4 linked regions of the Arabidopsis thaliana genome follow. The protein of the gene in region 3 interacts with the protein of the main gene of each other region in a pairwise test. Each region holds a gene or a part of one and is shown on either strand. Other genes may lie near its edges. The genes, in order: AT5G42420, AT4G12000, AT5G19130 and NRAMP3.

Evidence for each region.
Region 1: the proteins of AT5G19130 (region 3) and AT5G42420 interact in a protein complementation assay, tested with the Arabidopsis thaliana proteins (one large-scale study listed by BioGRID).
Region 2: the proteins of AT5G19130 (region 3) and AT4G12000 interact in a protein complementation assay, tested with the Arabidopsis thaliana proteins (one large-scale study listed by BioGRID).
Region 4: the proteins of AT5G19130 (region 3) and NRAMP3 interact in a protein complementation assay, tested with the Arabidopsis thaliana proteins (one large-scale study listed by BioGRID).

Annotation. Positions count from the first base shown.
Region 1 is NC_003076.8:16,967,086-16,971,062, reverse strand, and holds AT5G42420 (Nucleotide-sugar transporter family protein), read right to left. Parts: upstream 2,409-3,977; 5' UTR 2,245-2,408; coding exon 2,106-2,244; intron 2,020-2,105; coding exon 1,835-2,019; intron 1,724-1,834; coding exon 1,523-1,723; intron 1,436-1,522; coding exon 1,274-1,435; intron 1,204-1,273; coding exon 838-1,203; 3' UTR 536-837; downstream 1-535. UniProt on the Arabidopsis thaliana protein: Nucleotide-sugar transporter that transports UDP-rhamnose or UDP-galactose and UMP in a strict counter-exchange mode.
Region 2 is NC_003075.7:7,192,027-7,197,083, reverse strand, and holds AT4G12000 (SNARE associated Golgi protein family), read left to right. Parts: upstream 1-1,867; 5' UTR 1,868-2,141; coding exon 2,142-2,420; intron 2,421-2,743; coding exon 2,744-2,980; intron 2,981-3,059; coding exon 3,060-3,277; intron 3,278-3,370; coding exon 3,371-3,557; 3' UTR 3,558-4,551; downstream 4,552-5,057. Other genes in the region: AT4G12005 (uncharacterized protein), read right to left, coding at 1-193, 331-378.
Region 3 is NC_003076.8:6,415,416-6,421,112, forward strand, and holds AT5G19130 (GPI transamidase component family protein / Gaa1-like family protein), read right to left. Parts: upstream 3,698-5,697; 5' UTR 3,579-3,697; coding exon 3,457-3,578; intron 3,361-3,456; coding exon 3,269-3,360; intron 3,073-3,268; coding exon 2,973-3,072; intron 2,837-2,972; coding exon 2,029-2,836; intron 1,892-2,028; coding exon 1,758-1,891; intron 1,557-1,757; coding exon 713-1,556; 3' UTR 505-712; downstream 1-504. Other genes in the region: AT5G19120 (Eukaryotic aspartyl protease family protein), read left to right, coding at 1-330.
Region 4 is NC_003071.7:9,855,606-9,860,408, reverse strand, and holds NRAMP3 (natural resistance-associated macrophage protein 3), read left to right. Parts: upstream 1-1,630; 5' UTR 1,631-1,843; coding exon 1,844-2,379; intron 2,380-2,820; coding exon 2,821-2,957; intron 2,958-3,049; coding exon 3,050-3,702; intron 3,703-3,783; coding exon 3,784-3,987; 3' UTR 3,988-4,260; downstream 4,261-4,803. UniProt on the Arabidopsis thaliana protein: Vacuolar metal transporter involved in intracellular metal homeostasis. Can transport iron (Fe), manganese (Mn) and cadmium (Cd). Regulates metal accumulation under Fe starvation.

The sequences.
Region 1 (3,977 bases), about 11 Mb from region 3:
TTAATACCTGAACTTTCAAAAAATGGCCAAATTAACCGTGAACTCTTGAAATGGTCGTTTTATACCTCAACAAAAAGTTGACTTCTAATTTAACCTATAATTTATCGTTGACTTCTAATTTAACCTATAATTTGTCGTTGACCCGGCCAAATAGACTCACCGTTAACACTCCTTAACAGCGCTCCTAACAGCCGTTACAAAACATGGCCTAACAGCCGTTATTGTTGGTTTAAGGACAAAAACAGTTGTTAGTTACGCTGTTAGGAGAGCTGTTAAGAAGTGTTAATGGTGAGTCGATTTGGCCGGGTCAACGATAACTTATAGGTTAAATTAGAAGTCAACTTTTTGTTGAGGTATAAAACGGCCATTTCAAAAATTCACGGTTAATTTGGCCACTTTTTGAAAGTTCAGGTATTAAATAACATTTTTCCCCTTCTCATTTACAATTTTCACATTACTTGGGAGCATATGAATGTTTTTATCAGAAGTTCTTTTAAGTCTTCTCCAGTATTCTTGTTTTCACTATCCATATGAATGTTTTATCAAATGGAATATACTCTACATTTGATGTCATATTCTATAAGATAAATAAAGGAATATACTCTTTGAGTGCTACGTAAAACAAGAACATGTGGTCATTGAAGTTATTTCCATGGAATTGGGTAAAAAGATATAAATAACACAAAACATTTGTATAACCAAGGAAACTTTAGATCGAAGCCTAGACACTAATCTCCGAGGATCCGATCTCTTGGTTTAGATAACACAAAACATACAAAAATTATAACAGAACAAATTGTACCTGAAGACTATGTTTCTTTCTCTATCCATCTGTCTCTAATCTTTTGTGCGGCCAAGTTCAACATCTTTTGATTGTGTAGTTTCTACACCTTCCTTCAAAAGTTCAAACTCTTCCTCTGTTAAGCTATGTTTCACACTGTTTAAAGCCTTTGCTGCAATAATCGACTGTTTCTCCAATTCCATTGCCCAACTATAGATTACCATCCCAACAATCGCAACAATCATCCCCGCTACGTTTTTGAAAGTCATTGCAGAATCAAATAGGAGCCATCCAAGCGTGAGGATACAGACGGTTTTCATGTGACCAATAACTTGGAACGATACTGCTGAAAACCGCCCGATGCAAAGGTACTGGCTTATGTTGCAGAACACAGCTAGACCACATGAGAGAAGAATGAATAGCTGCAAATTGTAGAACATTAGCCAATGATAACATAACAATACTAGCAGAGCCATGAAGAGAGATACTTACAAAGCAACCGGAAGACATATTATACTTCATAATGAACTTCCCACTAAGAAGATAATCAACTAAAGGACCGACAACAAGAAGCGAAAAAGCTTGAATCGGCGCTGTTTTACTCAACAACTCAAAGGACCCAATTGAATATTTCTTCTGTAGAGAACCTATTAACTAAGCAACACAGAAGGAAAAAACACCAATTGATCAGATTTGAATTCCACAAGCTTCAAAACCAAATCACCAAACAAAAAGACTTACAATTTGCTGCAAGGATGACGAGAAAATCGCAACACAAGCACAGATAAAACCTTTGGCATTAACTTTAACATCAGTCACAGTACAAATACCAACACCAACAACAACAACCACAACAGATATTTTCACTTCTCTTGAGTATCTCTTGCTATGTAGAATCCATTCCATTACACATACCACAGGAATCATGCTCAGCTTCGAGATCTAATCAACACAAAAAAATGTGAATCCACTAAACCAAAATCAAAGTCTATATATGCTCAAATCAAAGCAATTTGATTCTATATGCTCAAGATCGAGATCGAGATGAATTACTTGGTAGAAGCCAACGGAATTGAGCATGAGACTGAAGTTCATAGCAGCAATAGAGACATTAGCGACAATGGAGAACCAAATAAGCTCCCACATAGGTACATGCTTCGAAGCAGAGAATCCGGTAGCGTTTGATACCATACCGACCAATGCGGTTAAAGCGAAGTGGAAACCGGTGAGAGTTGTAGCTGAGAAAACAGAGATCGGAAAAATCATCAGATCTCAAAAGCGAAATTGATTAAAAAGAGTGAGAGATCGGAGGAAGAAGACGAACCGAAACTAAATGCGAATCCAGAAGAGGACATAAGTTGTTTATTCGCCATGATGATTCCAACGGAGCTTATCACATTCATTGCCCAAGCTCCCATATCGGAGACTGCTGAAGGAGATTTTCTCTCATTCTCCGCCGCCATCTCTGGTCAACTGTCACCACCACCACCGTAGAAGGAGATTTCCGGTGATGCGATCTCGGAGATAGAGAGATAGAGAGAGAAAGAGAGATTCACGCTTTGTTGGAGGCTCACCTTCTGAGAGATTCTCTTTTCTCTCTTTCACGTTGAGAAAAATATCTGACAAATCTCAAATCTGAAATAAATACTTTTAAAAAGGAAGTTGTGTAAGTAGATTTAGTTTTTACTTTACCCGCATCAAAATTCATCATTACAATTACATTAAGAAAATCATTGATTATGTTTTTTTTTTGGACAAGAAAATAATTGATTATGTAGTGACAAAAGTTGTAGATGAGTATTATGACAAAATTGATAATCGAATTTTTTTAGTTGTTGCAAATTTTGATTTTAACGATTTTTTGTAATGAGATTTGAGATTTTCTGTAAATTAAATCTTTAAAAAATATTTCGTGATTTGAAGATTTTCAATTTATTTATTTATGACTAAAGAAACTCTCAATTAGTGGATTAGACAAATAAATCTTGAATTTTGCATTGAATTGACTAAATTATTCACAAACCTTAATCAAAATTATCTGTTGATTTTTTTTATTAACTCTATACAATTTAATTTACAACAAATGTAAATGTCCAAAAATGATATCGTATTTGACACATATATATGGATAAAATAATGTAAACATATTCTAAAATAAATATCATAAGATTGTGTTATGTAAATAATATAATTACAAATATTTGTTTATTTGCATAATTTCCAAATATTTTTAATATTCTTTGAACTTTTTGTGTCACATAATAAATTCTATAACTATGAAACAAACCAACTGTGTGAGAGTACTTTTTAGCTAATATTTTGAATAAAACTATTATTTTCATAAAAACCAATACATATTTATCGAACTGATAATATTATTTTCCCTCTCTTTTTTGTATATGAATATTTTTAAATTTTTCACCATGCATCATTTCTAAGGAAAGTAGGAATAATTAATATGTTTATAATTTACTATATATAAAAAACAACACAAATAAAAGAAAATGACACAAATATATAGTAGTGCTTGTTGACCAGTAACTTAGGCAGATTATGAGGCGAAGGGAACCTCTTTTCATGCTGCCGTTATTTTTGCATTACGCAAAGTCAAAGTCAAAGTCTGTTGGTAACTTTTTGTTTAAGCAGCCAATCCATAAAAGTAAGTCATAACTTTGCATTTTCTTCATGAACTAGTGGAGATCACATTAAAATATTTCGTTTTTTCATGTAAGAAGCATGAATATTTACGATAATGTAACTGATAAATAAAAAGATGACTGGAGAAGTTTTTTTAAAATAATAATAATTAAAGAACATAAATCGATAATACAAAAACAAAACGGAAAGATGAAAAGGAATTATCGTAGAGGTGAGACATTATCAATTTTCTTAATTCCTTAGATATCCAAAAATACAACTATAATATTTTTTCAGACTTATATAAGAATAACTATAGAAGCTTACAACCAAATGAGTTATTAGATCAAATGGTTTCATCAATTCAATGAGTTGAGTTGTAAACTTATAATGAGTTAACATATTAAATATTAATGAGTCTAAGCAGAACTTCTATACTGATTAAATATTATTAATCTTTTCCAAAAAAATATAAAAATATATATACATATATAAACCACACTTCAAAAGAAAATTTAGATTTTCTCGAGAGTTAGTTTTGTAAGTTTTTTGGTGAACA
Region 2 (5,057 bases), on a different chromosome or scaffold from region 3:
ATGCAGCTAGAAAGAACCGAACTTTGGAGCTATAAGCTAATTTCGAAATGTCGATTCCACATATGGAGCTAGAACTACACACATACATAGAAGTTAAGAGAGCACTTACCACGGTTGTCAAATCACTCAGAGTGCATTGTATGGTTGCATAAACCTCACATGTAAATCTCAAACGGCATAATGTCACCTGAAACTTCATACCAAACCAATTTTCAAAGATTAAACATATACTGGAGAAAATGATGTAACATGTCAAAGCACAGTCAATTTCTAAACAAACACTTTAATCTCAGGAGAAAGAAGAAAAACAGATTGCTTGGATCAACCAACCTCGTGGATTCTGAAACTTTGTGAATCTTGTTTCACGTTTTTTTCCATCAAATTTATAATTTTGATAAATTTGGAATCCAAATTTCAGAGTATGGCCGAAGAGAAGATGGCCGGAGAGGTTTCAAGAGATATCCATTAAAATCCAAGAGCGGTGAAAGTGAGAATAGGCGTTTTTGTGACGAGTCGAGAAGAAGAAAATTCGATCTCGGAACAGTAGAAAAGTAGCTCGCGGGAAAGATATCGGAAATGTTGCCGTTTCGGTGGTGGAAGGCATTGCGGCGATGGCGTCGTCAGATTGTGGTGACAAAGACAAATCGAAATTGAGGAAATTGGGAAATTGCGAAAACCGGGTCCACGGAGAATACGGAATGTCGACCACAGTGGATTATTGGTCGGTGAAATTAAACACGTATAATAAAATTAAAATAAAAGCTCAAAAAGTGGGAAACCCGCGACAAGCTAACCTCCTTATTTGTGGCCACGTGTATGGCCACCATCTCACTTCGTTGATGAATGTCTAGTAATGCCTAGTAAGAAACCAACATATATTATTCAATTTAAAAATATATGTATTTAATATTTTACATTAACTATAATATTTAAATAGTAATTCAGATTAATATTAATATTAATAAAATAAATAAATTCTTATCGAGACAAATTTAACGGAACGAATTTTAAAAATAATATTAATAAAAAAATTAAAATATCATTAATATATTGTTTTAATATAGTTTAAGTTTTAAATTTATTATTTTTTGATACTATCAATATTATACATATAAATCAGTCTGATTTACAAAAATTATATAAAATAAAATATATATAGTAATATAATGTTTTTAGTAACAATTAAATTATAAAATATAAATATCTCAGAAAATGATATAATTTAAAAACTTATATATAATAAATAATTTTTAATTTTAATATTTTTATTAAATATTACATGAGATGAGTTAAGAGATTACAAGACGGTTTATATTGTGGAACGGATTATAGTAGATGAGTTTGAATCAATATTTATAAATTTTTAAAATATCAGTAATATGCTGGTTTAATACGAATTAAATCCTCAAGTTTTAATTATTGTTCTTAAATTCGTGGTATATGTTACTTAATAACAATCGTAAACAAAACAAAAAAAATATTATATAAAGATAAATAATTTAAAATTTTATATTTTATATATATATATATATATTAGAAAAAAAAATTATCATGCGGTATATTACGGATTTAAAATCTGGTTTTATAATATACACCTCCCAATCAAAACAAATTTTACAACTACACCAAAATATTTGTCCCTAATTATTTTGAGACCTTAAAATCTTACAATGTAAAATTTGGTAGGGGCCTTAAATTATTATTTTTTTTCTTTCTAACAATATCCACACGCTTTTATGCCGACATGGTCCAGGTGTTTTCAAACTACATATTTTATTATTTTTCGTCAACCGTGAAATAACTATTTTATATTTCCTAGAATTTTTGGTAAACTGAATAAAAAATATAAAAAAATGCAAGTAACGACGGAAGAAATCATAAAGTAATAAGAAAATAATTTAAAAGAATGGGTACATGCGTCAAGCCATGACATTAACAAACAAACCGAAAAAAGAAAAAAACTCATCTTTCTCCAAAATCACACAAATCTTCTTTATTTGTTATTCTCAATCCTTCCTTCATCCCCAGGTTTCTTTCGATTCGTTGAGTCATTCAATTTTTCCATCACTGGGTTTTTCTCTCTGAATCCGATCGGAGAATCCAGTCGATTACTAATCTAGCGCTCTCTTTTTTTCTACTCGATGACTTATCACGAAGAAGACGATACAGTTTCTGAATTTCGAGTTAGAGTTGAAGAAGATGGAGTTGATAAATTAGGTCATTATGTTAAACTTACTGAAGATTTCGAAGTACATCGACAAGAAACAGAACAAGAATCTTCATCATCACCGTCTTCTTCTTCTTCATGTGGACAGAAACGATCTGTTTGGTTTTGGATCAAGCTTGGTCTTTTCTTCACTTTTCTAACTGCTTTGGGTCTCGCTGGTTACAAATGGCTATACCCTTTAATCATGGATAAGGTTTTCAATTTCCTCCAATGATTTCTTGTTGAATTGATCTTCTTCTGAAAGTCTTCTTCTTTATCTATTGGGTTTGATTATAGTTTCAACTACTGAATTAGATCCTTAGTGTATAAAAGAGGTTCCTTTATGATTTTGGTTCATGTGAATTGAAACTATGTATCCCTACGATTAGCTCAGTATCCAATAACCAAAGTGAGGTTTCGTTGTTGATGTTCTGTGTCTAAAATCGGTAGATTTTCGATGCTGGTGACAAATTCAGTCAGTGACATATTTGGCTCTGTTGCTGATTATGGGATTATCCATTTAACTTTTGTTTGCAGGAGCTAATCCCACTCATAAAATGGGAGATGGAGACATTTACACACCCTGTGTGCGGTATTCTTGTGTTTGCATCAGTCTCTTTATTCCCTGTGATACTTATTCCAACTACGCCGTCAATGTGGGTGGCTGGGATTACATTTGGTTATTTCTATGGCCTTCTCCTTACTCTTCCAGCTGTAGCTATTGGTGTTTCACTTCCTTACTTCATCAGCTATCTCTTCCTCAACAAAATTCAAGTATGTGTCTCGCTTAAGAACCAGTTATATTCTTAGTAACGACTACTTTGTATGTTGCTGAAATTGATGAATGTTGCAGGGTTGGTTAGAAAGATATCCAGATCAAGCTGCAATGTTGAGAGCTGCTGGTGGAGGCAGTTGGTTTCATCAGTTTCGTGCAGTTACCTTAATCCGGATTTCTCCATTTCCTTTTGCTGTATATAATTACTGCGCTGTTGCAACTCGTGTGAAGTTCGGTCCTTACATGGCTGGTTCTCTCGTAGGCATGGCGCCGGAGATTTTTGTCGCAATTTATACGTAAGTGTGGAAATGACTTACAATTTTCTTGGTAATGAATGAATGATTGATTTAGCATCCTGATAGTATTTTTGTTTGTTTTGGTGTTTGCAGAGGGATTCTTATAAGGACATTGGCAGATGCATCCACTGCGGAACAAAAGGGTCTCTCGATTCTTCAAATTGTTCTCAACATTTTTGGTTTTGTAGCAACTGTTGTGACAACTGTTCTCATCACTAAGTATGCGAAAAGACAGCTTGAAGTTATGAAGAAGGAGAAGGAAGCTTTGTTGTTACAGTAATGGAGACAACAACCTCAGAAGTTATGTCTCTGCTTATTCCCAAAGTACAGGTTTTCGTCCATGATGTGAAAGAACTCTTGATTTTTGGTCTCTGTTTTGGTTTGTTTATAGCCGAGAAATGAAAGGGTATAAAAGAAATTATAATGACTATATAAACACTAACTAAACTCTCTAACACGATTTAATCTTATTTGCGTTTTCTCAATCTTTTGTTTTTTGATGTTTGAAAAGAATGGATCAATTGAAAACTTAAGATCATTACTCCTCCTTCGTTTTCTCGTTTATATTCTCTAGTAAGTATGAACTAACTATGAAGATTGGAAATTGTCTAATTGGTAAATAGTGCAAGTGTTGTGTCAGATATTCGTAGGTGACTAGTGAAAACTTGCACTTCGAATATTATGGGCTGCATTGAGAAAAAGCCCAATATAGCTTAGATGGCCATTTAATTGTTTCTATCAAAATCAAATGCGTCTCTTTTTCGAACTATAATGGTCAAGAGTTATTTGTAGCCTACGAGTACGACATTGCTATGCGTTCGACATATTAAATGGTGGAATTGAAGAAGAAACCTTAGCTATGATTCATCACAATATGTATGATCTATATTTTTTCAATTTGAAATAATGGAGTTATTCTAGACCAAATCGAATCTTTTGTTAAATGGATTTCTACTAAAATTAATCAAAGACTGTTTTAATTACCATTTTTTTTTTTTTGCGGTTTGTGAAACCAGTGTGAATCTGCCCAAGTGAAGAGTGCGAGAGATAAGAGGAGAAGAACTATATGGAGAGTTCTTGGGGATTTGAAGCTGCGGTTTTTCTAGTATCGGATTTGGACATCTATATTCTGCTTGAAAATTCACACTAGAAAATGAAGTGCTTCTGCGAGTCATTTGTCTCTTGCATAAGATACAAAGTGGAATTGAAATAACTTTATGTGAAATATATATAATTCTAAAATATGAAGCTAAATATAAACCAATTTTCTACATAAGCTTTTTCAAATTTTAAAGATATACTTACAAGAATCGATCAATAATTGATTCAGTTTTTTTATTTTTTTTTATTTTTATACTGGTGCATTTGAAGCTCTCCTAAGTCCTATAACACAACAAATATGTTCAACTACTCTCATCCCGAAATAAATGTTGTCTTAATTCCCTTCAAAAATGCTTTTGGTCCAAAACCCAATATCCTTTGAAACACTTTTGTCTAAAAGTATATGTAAAGCCATTTACATTTTGTCCTACCTATGAACCACAAAATTAAATATTTGTCTTATTCTCTAAATATTTCTTTTAGATTAAAGTATGTGTATTCAATCAGCAGTAAAAAAGTTACATGTCAAGACTTAATGTAGTTTGCATTTTCTGAATATTCTGGTTTGAATTAAACTATATATGCTTCTGACTCGGTACCACTTTCAACAGTCTATCTATGTGTCTTTTTCATGCGAATAAAATCCATTGCTCATTAATGGTAATTTGTCATCTGGTGA
Region 3 (5,697 bases):
GCGGAAGCTTACGCCAAAGCTGCGGGTGAAGCTACATCGGTGCCTCCTGTCGCACCGTTTGGGCTCTGCTTCACTAGTGACGTAGATTTTCCGGCGGTAGATCTAGCGTTGCAGAGTGAGATGGTGCGGTGGAGGATTCATGGGAAGAATCTGATGGTGGATGTTGGTGGTGGAGTCCGATGCTCGGGGATTGTTGACGGCGGGTCAAGTCGAGTCAACCCGATTGTAATGGGTGGGCTACAATTAGAAGGCTTTATATTGGACTTTGATTTGGGTAACTCAATGATGGGCTTTGGACAAAGAACACGCTCTGATTCAACTTCGTTGTAATACAGAAACCTTTGTAATTGTAACCTTCTAATTATCTGGTAGATATCCTCAATTTTGATCTCTTTTGAGTGTACTCTTTTCTTACAATACCTGCTACAAGCAATCATGCATTTGTACAACTAATAGATCTAATTTAAGAAACAGCTATTACTTAAATGAAGTAAAAATACAGTGCTTAAAACTAAAAATCAATACAAAAAACAGAAACTTCACTCATTCATCGCATTTTTAGTTTTCTAACGATACATCAGACCTCTAACTGCTAATTACCATGCGACAACTAGAACATATGACAAATTCCAACAAGTGTGGACAACTGTCACCGAAGTAAAGGAAATAACTGTGACCTTCCTTGTATGGAGATTGGGACGTAAAATAAGAATTAAGAAGGATGAAACAAGATGCAGAGGCAAAGGAGCCAGCAAGGAAGATGAACCATACCTATGTATAGATATGTTGCACTCTTCCACGCCCAAAGCGACTCTAACCATGTCCAAAACTCTCCTCCAAGACTCAACCCTACGAGGCCTTCTCCAAGCAACCCTTTAGAGATTGCAAAAAACATGACCGGGAACCCGATTGTCAGCAATACAATACTGCAAAACGCACCCAACAGGCTCTTAAGGCGTCTGGATCTCAAAGCGGGTTTTATAGGCTGAGCCATAAGACACGTTGGCACTAGTAGCAACGCTCCAATCTCTGCGGTGGCAAAATTGATTATGGACATGAGGCATAGGCCGATGAAGGCAGCTGAGATGGTCACTGATTTCAAGATGGCCCAGTTGGTTCCATGGAGTCGAGAGGAGAACGGAGAGCAACCAGGCATTGTGACAAAGGTTATAAGGAGAAGCGACGAAGAGGTAGTGCCCCACATGATGGAGCGGTTTGTTGGAGAATGTTGGCCCGGTACTTGACAGATGAAATAAGGTAGCAGCGTGACAATGAAACCCAACAAGTGCAAAGTAAAGACCTGTTTCGCTGCATCTAGCCATTTCCAAGACTTGAAGTTTTCGGTTGGGTTATGAGTGGAATTGGTAAGAGATTTACAGCCATCGATGTATAAAGAGGCTGCGACCATTGGAAGAGGGGCAACAAGAAGAGCAAAGGCAATCATGTAGACTCCTACAGAGATAAATTTGCTTGGCGAAGTTAACATGTAAAGGAAAAACGATTGATGGAACTTCTCAAGGAGGTTGTTCACTGATCTTATAGTTCCTTCCAGTAACCTGCGTTTAAAGAGAAAGCACAGAGTTATCATCGAACACTCATACAGAGTCAATGAGTAGAAAACATTAAAACTCTTAAATTCCACTGTAGCATAAATGATATATTGTAGTACTTTAGCATTACAAAATGCACATACACTAGCAGAGGTAGGTAAACGGTATAAAATGGGAACGAATGAAAATATAAAAACAAAAACTCACCGGGCACCTCGTAGAAAGAAATCGTGTTGTCTTGTCTTACTGTCAGGAGGAAATCTAGGTGAAACTTTCAAAGTTATAGCATCAACTTGATAATCGCGGAAAGCTCCATGGGGACCAGTTGGGATACCAAGGGCCTGATGAGAATGAATAACAAAAGAAAGAAACATTTTCTGTCAGCTTTCAAGGTCTTTCCTAGTTAAAATGTATCAGTGTGACTGCAACCACAAGATGCCAAGAACTTAATTAAGGACAGATCAGTTGTACATTTTACCTGGGAGTACAGTGAACTTGCAAGGGTAGCACTGCCTTCAAGATAGTCTGCAGCTGGGATACCAAAATTCCAGTCCGGATTTAACATATGCGCCAATTTCCCAACAGCTTCAAATATTTCCCCAAAAATCTTTAGCCAACTAGAGGAAAGTAAAGATACAACCTTCTCAACCTTGACATAAAACCCCTGCCTGTGCACCGCTAAGTAATTTACAACATTGATGAGGTCGAGATTTGGCATCTGCCCATTAGATGCCTCTGCATAGATACTTAGTGTGTCCTCAAACTTTTCACTTCTACCATCAACCTTCAAAACCAAAGCAGCAGCCATTGTTCCAGCTCGTCTGAAGTTATCAGCTGTATTTTGCTCGTCACACTTCAGAAGATCCGAGACCTTAAATGAAGGTGAGTGGTATTCAGTTAACCACGCAGCAACAGGCCTATAGTCTCCATAACGAGAATCAGCGACAAGCCATATTATGTCTTTGGAAAGCCAGGTAACTCTAGAGAGCAAGGAAAAAAGAGAACTGACAATTCCTAAAGACAAATCCTCATAGTCTCCACCATTTATAAAATCATAGGGAGTAACCAGCACAATAGACTCTTTTCCATCACCACGAGGGGCTCTTATAATCCCCGCAACATTGACCCCATAAGAAGCACAACTGACATTCTCCAGCAATGTATATGAATCTGGACCGGAGAAAAAGTGCAGGGGGTGAAATTGATTCCCTTCAGGATGGAACTTTTGATAAGAAACTTCTGCACCCATATCTGACATGTATTTTCCAATGAGCTTTTGGACTTCACTAGAAAGAAAAATCACACAAATGGAGAAACATTAAGTTACTTGGGCTAGGACCAAAACAGAAGGACAAGTAAAATTCTTCATAACGTAGGAGAAAGCTCTATTTCATGCGAAAACTGAGGGAAGAAAAGACATACACACCCTGGCCTTCATGATTCAACCTAAAGTTCTTTATGTCCTTCACCAGTTTGCTTCCATCAGAAACATCTCGATTAGAGAGCATAGACCGTGCAGAGCCTGAGGATTAGAGTCAAAATAGAAAGTGTAAAACACCAAACAACAACGCATTCAAAGTTGGCAAGCCATAAACTCACATGACTCAACAGTTTTAAACCCTTCTACAGATTCCAATCGTATAGAACACTAATTCCAGGTTAACATGTACAGTATCCAAATGTGGACTTTAATTGAATTCTAAGGTATGTAACAAAACCTGGCATTAGAGCATTCTCGGAGATGTAAGTGTTCTTTGCCAGTAGAGGCAAAAGCAGCAGCGCCAAAACCCCAGCAGCAGAGAAAACCACACTACAAACACAATCAGATCATCAATGAACCAAAAGAGAAAGAATCAAAACATAGAAACTAGTGGAGTAGAAGAGAAAATTATGGTTGAAGATTTACCTGAAAACAGGACTGTGAGCGATGAGGAAGATTCCGAGCCGAACGATTGGTCTCGGTTTGATTTTAGGAGATCCATCATCGGTCTTCACTTCCTCTTCATTATCCCGGTTCACCGCTGCCATGATTCACAGATCTTCGATCAATTTCGGCAGATTCGAACCTACGACGAACTGTGATCTCCGTGGCTTGGGAATTGTAGACGACGGTCAAGTCGGGTCAGCCCGAATAGGGTGGGTGGGCTTAAATTTAGAAGGCTTTGTAATGGACTTTTATTTGGGTGATGGGCTTAAAGTCAGATTAAGATGGTGCAGAATTTTCTTACATACCAAATATAATTGTTATTTTGATTACAAAAGTATATTTATATTTGTTCTTAATTTTAAAAATAAAATGGATAATATCAGTGTTCTTAATTTGTATCTTATTTTAAAATGAAGAAACACTTTTACAATTATGTTATTATCCATTGACTGTTATAGATTTTTTTAAATATTTATTATTATAAATGACCAGTATATGGTATTTTTGCTATTACATCATAGCAAGATGGGAACATGAAATAGTGGGCTATACAGTGCAGTCCATATTATCGCATCAAAGAAAAGCAAAAAAGAAGAGAAACTGCCAAAAGAAATAATGAAAAGTCATGATATGATCCGAAACCAAAAAAGAATATCAAGAAAAAAGAAAAAAAAAGATATATACAGCTGCATAGGAAGTGTTTGTGGGGATGCATAGAGATTAGAGATGATCGAAGCTTAGGTGATTGAGATGGTCCAATAACAAATTTGTTCATTTGAATGATACTGAAGCCTCTAGATCGACCACATATACATCATATTGCTTTTAAAACGCGAGAATATCATAGTTTTGATATGAAGAAATCATTTTTCAACAAACATTTTCTAGAGGATTCTTTCTTAGAGAAATATATGAAATATAGATATATAACGTAACTAGATTTTTACCCGCGGTATACCGTGAAAACAATTTATTTTTTTAAATTAATATATATATAAAAGTTTGTAAATTGTATCTATTTATAAAATGTTTTTATTGTATAGTTTACAATTTTTATTAAGTAACGTCCTGCCAAACCCGTCTCGCCAACCCGTCCTCTAAAAAAAACTCATTTATTTTATTAATGTTGATCTTATTTATGATATGTTTATGAATTATTGTCTAAATATTTTGTAATTTTATAGTAATTAAATGCTATCAAATATCTATACGGTTTGATGATTATAATCATGGAGAAAAAATATCAAAAATGATAATTTTGTAGTAATTAAATGATATTAAATATTTTAGAAGTTTTATTTTAGTAATTAATCGTGTAGTTAAGGTAGAGAGATTTTGGGAAGATTGTTAAATGTCAAATATTTAATTAGAAGATTTTCTTTCTAATTATCAAAAACAATTATTAAATGCCAGTGACAGCCGCTGTAAATAAATCCCAACTTTAAAATTTATTTCATAAAGTGGCTGCAAAAATGTATATATAAATAGTTAATACCATTCATTATGTTTGGATAATGGTATGTGGCAACAAAAAAATCTTCTATATGTCATGTTCAAATGAGATAATTTTCTTTGAAATAATATTTGTAAAAGATAATAAGCAAAACAATATCAAAGTCGTTTTCAGCTTTTGTAGTTCCCACTCCCAGGCCCATGGTTGGCTTTGCTCGGTCTTTCTTTCTGTTTTCTACGATTGTATTTTGAATAAATAAGTAAATAATACAAACTAGTGGCTGTATTTTATTTTACAATTTAATAAAATGATAATGACGTTTATAATATCAATACAAATATGCCATTCACTGTTTTGCTATTCAATTTACGTTATATTATTGATCAATATTGCGTTTTATTTTTTTGTGTATATGATTTTAATATAGTTTAAATTCTATAGAAAAGTCAAAAACATAATATATACATGATAATCAAAATCTAAAATCATCCATAGACGTGGTTCAATAGCTAAAGCAGTTAAGTTATGGTATTTAATATATGCAGTTTAATCTACAGTAACCGCGAAAAAGGAATTTTTTTTGTTCTGTTTGATTCGACCGATAAAAACGATTTTACATGGGTCGGATAAAACATAAATCAGTTATTTTGTTTAACAAAGTTTTAAAAACAATTTTCTCAAAGTGTGCATGTTAAAATTTACATCTATTATAAAAAAAAACATAAAATCAATTTATTCATTATCAAATTGTTTTGAATAAGAAATCC
Region 4 (4,803 bases), on a different chromosome or scaffold from region 3:
AAAAAAATTTCGAATTAAATATTTGATATTTAACAATTTCCCTAAAATCTCTCTACATTAACTACACGATTGGTTACTAAAATAAAACTTTCAAAATATTTAATATCATTTAATTACTACAAAATTATCATTATTGATATTGTTTTTCTGCATGACTATTACAATTCAATTATAATCATCAAACCGTAGAGATATTTGATAGCATTTAATTACTAGATAATTTTAAAAATAAATGATTCATAAACATATGATAAATAAGATCAACATTAATAAAATAAAACGGGACGGGTTGGCGGAACGGGTTTGGCAGGACGTTACTTAATAACAATTCTTAACTAGAAAATAAAAATATTTTATAGATAGTTACATAGATAGTTACAAATTGTAAACTTTTATATATACTAATTTTAAAGTATAAATTGTCTCCGCGGTATACCGCGGGTGAAAATCTAGTATATACATATTTTAATAAGATATCTTTTATTATCATTTAATGAAAACATTAAATATGTACTTGTTTTTTGTTTCTCTTATAATTCAGGTACTTTGAACAATTAAATAGATAATTTAGCACAAAAGGTATACTATATCCATATAACATTATATTTGTAATCTATGTGCCATCCATTTCTAAACTTTGTAACTTTAACATAGTTGTTGACAATAGAAGTTGCACTAAAAGATTGTTTTTTATAATTATGTGTAAAGAATAATTTACAAAAAATTGGTGAAAGGATGGATATCTTTTGCAAATTTACCAAGAAAAAAAAAAGAAGAGAATATCGGAGGTGAGAGACGTGTATCCACGAGCCAACCATGTTTAATATCAGGCTTGGTTCCCACTATTGCATGACATGGCATCATCCCCATGGTTCTTTCGATCTCGCCAGGTCATCAACCTAAGTGGACCATTTATTTCGCATGATACACACCACCTGTTTATTTCTTTATTTGCTTTTTTATTCCCTATACATGCTTTTTGATTTTGATATATACTGTTCGAGGAAACAATACTCCTAAATAGTATAGAAATATTTTAAGAAGACAGAAATATAAATAATTATATTAAAAATCTTAACATTAGTTACAATATATTAATAAATTCAACAAACAGTTTATATATAGTTTATTCATGTTTGAAGCAAAACAAAGTTTAAAAACAAATATTTTCGCATGTTACTTTATCACAAAAAATGATCTAATTATACTAAAAATGATAAATTTATCGAATCTATTTAATATTTTGAAAAGGATTCTATTTACACTATACATATCTATGGACTACGATAGACATTTTTATTTTTAACACACGAGGCCACAAACGAAGGTATACGTGATGCATGAACACTGTGAAGTGTGAAGCTTCCTATATAATCTACATGTTGATGAACGCTCGATAAAATTATAAACCTAATTATTAGTCCAAAGAAATTCTACAAAAATTCTCTATTTAAAAAAAAAAAGATAGTGAAAAAATGTGTCCGTAAGTAAATAAGCGAATTAAATGTAAAATCTGTCCCAGAAAAACAAACAAAACTAAACTAGAAAAGAGAAATTTGAATTTACTTTTCCAAATTCCATTTACACATCAAAATTTTATTTATTTGTTTATGAGTGATTATCCGAATTACCTCCACCAAATAAAACCCTATCTTATTTCCCCCTAAATTATTAGAAAAATATAAAGTGATTAAGATTCTTTTGAAAGTTTGTGTTTATACTTTATCTTGTACTAAGAGAAACAGAACTTCCCTATAAAAAGCAAAAGCAAGTAAGAATAACGTGTTAAACTAAAACCTCGAAAACAACAAAACCCGAAACTGAAACAGAGAATCCAAAAAAAATGCCACAACTCGAGAACAACGAGCCACTTCTAATCAACGAGGAAGAAGAAGAAGAAACAGCGTACGATGAAACAGAGAAGGTACATATCGTAAGAAACGAAGAGGAGGACGATCTAGAACACGGCGTCGGATGCGGCGGCGCACCACCGTTCTCATGGAAGAAGCTATGGTTATTCACCGGACCTGGGTTTTTAATGAGCATTGCGTTTTTAGATCCAGGGAATCTCGAAGGAGATCTTCAAGCCGGTGCGGTTGCTGGGTACTCTTTGTTATGGCTTCTCATGTGGGCAACAGCAATGGGTCTTTTGGTTCAGCTTTTGTCGGCTAGGCTTGGTGTTGCGACAGGTCGTCACTTAGCTGAGCTTTGTCGTGATGAGTATCCTACTTGGGCAAGAATGGTTTTGTGGGTTATGGCTGAATTGGCTTTGATTGGATCTGATATTCAAGAAGTTATTGGTAGTGCTATTGCTATCAAGATTTTGAGTAATGGGATTTTGCCTCTTTGGGCTGGTGTTGTTATTACTGCTCTTGATTGGTAAATTCTCAATTTTTAGACATGTGTCTTCTTGTGTTATTGTTTCATTTGTCTGTGTTTGGTCCCAGTTTTGTCTTTTTGGTTTATGGTTCTAATAGCAGTTTAGCTAATCTAATCTATGGATTGTTTGAATTTGGTGTTAGTTAACCATTAGCTGTGTTAATTTCATCTTTACACATGAATTTTTGTCACTATGTGCTCATTTGGTCATTGATTCATATGTGTGTTTTGCTCAAAGTTTTGGTCTTTTTGTTGGAATCAGGAAACTCTAGTGAGTGTTTATGGTTCTAATTGTAATTTAGCTAATCTATTCTATGGATTGCTCAAATTATTATGTGTTAATTGATTAGCTGTGTTAATGTCTCGTGGAATTTCATCTTTCGGTGTGAGTTTTTGGTGTTATGTATCTCATTGATTCATATGTATGTGTTTTGGTCACAGTTTCGTCTTCTTGTTTCTTGAGAACTACGGAATAAGGAAGCTCGAGGCTGTGTTTGCAGTTCTTATCGCTACAATGGGAGTCTCATTCGCTTGGATGTTTGGTCAAGCTAAGCCAAGTGGCTCTGAGCTTCTCATTGGTTAGGCTTTCTTTCTTCTCTTTATCATTTTCTTAATGGAACAGTCTTTTAACTTTTTAAGTTCTGAAGAAGTTAGATTTCTCTTGTTGCAGGGATTTTGGTACCGAAACTGAGTTCAAGAACGATACAGAAAGCAGTTGGAGTTGTGGGTTGCATTATAATGCCACACAATGTGTTTCTTCACTCAGCTCTTGTTCAATCTAGAGAAGTCGATAAACGACAGAAATACCGAGTCCAAGAAGCGCTAAACTACTACACAATAGAATCCACAATTGCTCTTTTCATCTCCTTTTTGATCAATCTGTTTGTCACAACTGTTTTCGCCAAAGGGTTTTATAATACTGACCTCGCCAATAGCATCGGTTTGGTTAACGCGGGACAGTATCTTCAGGAGAAATATGGAGGCGGTGTGTTCCCGATACTATACATTTGGGCGATCGGGCTATTAGCTGCTGGCCAAAGCAGCACTATTACCGGTACATATGCGGGACAGTTCATAATGGGCGGGTTTCTTAATTTCAAAATGAAGAAATGGTTGAGAGCTTTGATCACACGAAGCTGCGCTATCATTCCAACTATTATCGTTGCGCTAGTGTTTGATTCATCGGAAGCTACACTCGATGTCTTAAACGAGTGGCTTAACGTGCTTCAGTCCATTCAAATCCCCTTTGCACTCATTCCCTTACTTTGTTTGGTCTCCAAGGAACAAATCATGGGTAGCTTCAAGATTGGTCCTTTGTACAAGGTTTGTCAATTTCGTTCAAACTCTTTTACTAACATTCTTTAAAGATCGCTTTATTAAGCTCGATCTCACCTTGTTGTGCAGACAATCGCGTGGCTTGTTGCTGCGCTCGTGATAATGATCAACGGTTATCTTTTGTTGGAGTTCTTCTCCAATGAGGTTAGTGGCATAGTCTATACCGGTTTTGTGACACTGTTCACAGCTTCTTATGGTGCATTCATCCTCTACCTCATTGCTCGTGGCATCACTTTCACTCCTTGGCCGTTCAAAGCGGAGTCTAGTCATTGAGACTGGACCAAACAAGACAGTGTAAGCGTAGTAGCTATGTCTTGTAATCCTTAGGATCATGAGTTCTTAGCTTTCTCTCTTGTATTATATGTGTTGTTGTTATAAAGCAGCTCTGGTTTTGTTGAAGAAGGCTCTTCTATGTATCAGTAGTTAGGTCCCAGAGACGAGAATTAATAAGAATATGTTCACATCTAAACCAATGTTGACACAGATCAAAAGAAACTTTGGGGAACATTCCCAAAAGTGTACATTTAATCGTCCGATCAGAGTTTCACAGTTTCAAGGATTCTCAAATACTTTAAAGTACATATTGTGGATATAGTCAGGGCAAATTCGATACACAAGGTAAAATGATGGAACCAAAATTTCCATAGATAAACACAAAATCTACTTGTTCTAATATGGTATATTATTAAGGGCTTTGTCCCGATCTATTACATTGGCATCTATGTTTTTGTTAATGTATTTTGGGAAGTGCAGTCTTGCTCATCTTGGCATTCATTGCCTCTTTGTCTTCCCTCTTGTTTGGAGTGGTTTGTTTTGGGTACAAACCAACGTCCCACATTTGAAGTTTAGAAAATAGTTTCCCATATATAAGCAAGTTCAACTTCAACTAGTAAGAGACATTTTGGGAAGGAGATCAATAACAAATCCTTGCGGATTTGAGCATGTAGATTCAAAAAGGACAATATTATACTAAAGGGGAGTTGGAATGGGCTTGGAAAGCCTAATAAATGGTGTTGAACGTGGGTTGAAAAAAATGGACCTAGGGCTTGGACTGTATAATCGGTGTGGGAGAAGCCTACCATGTAACAC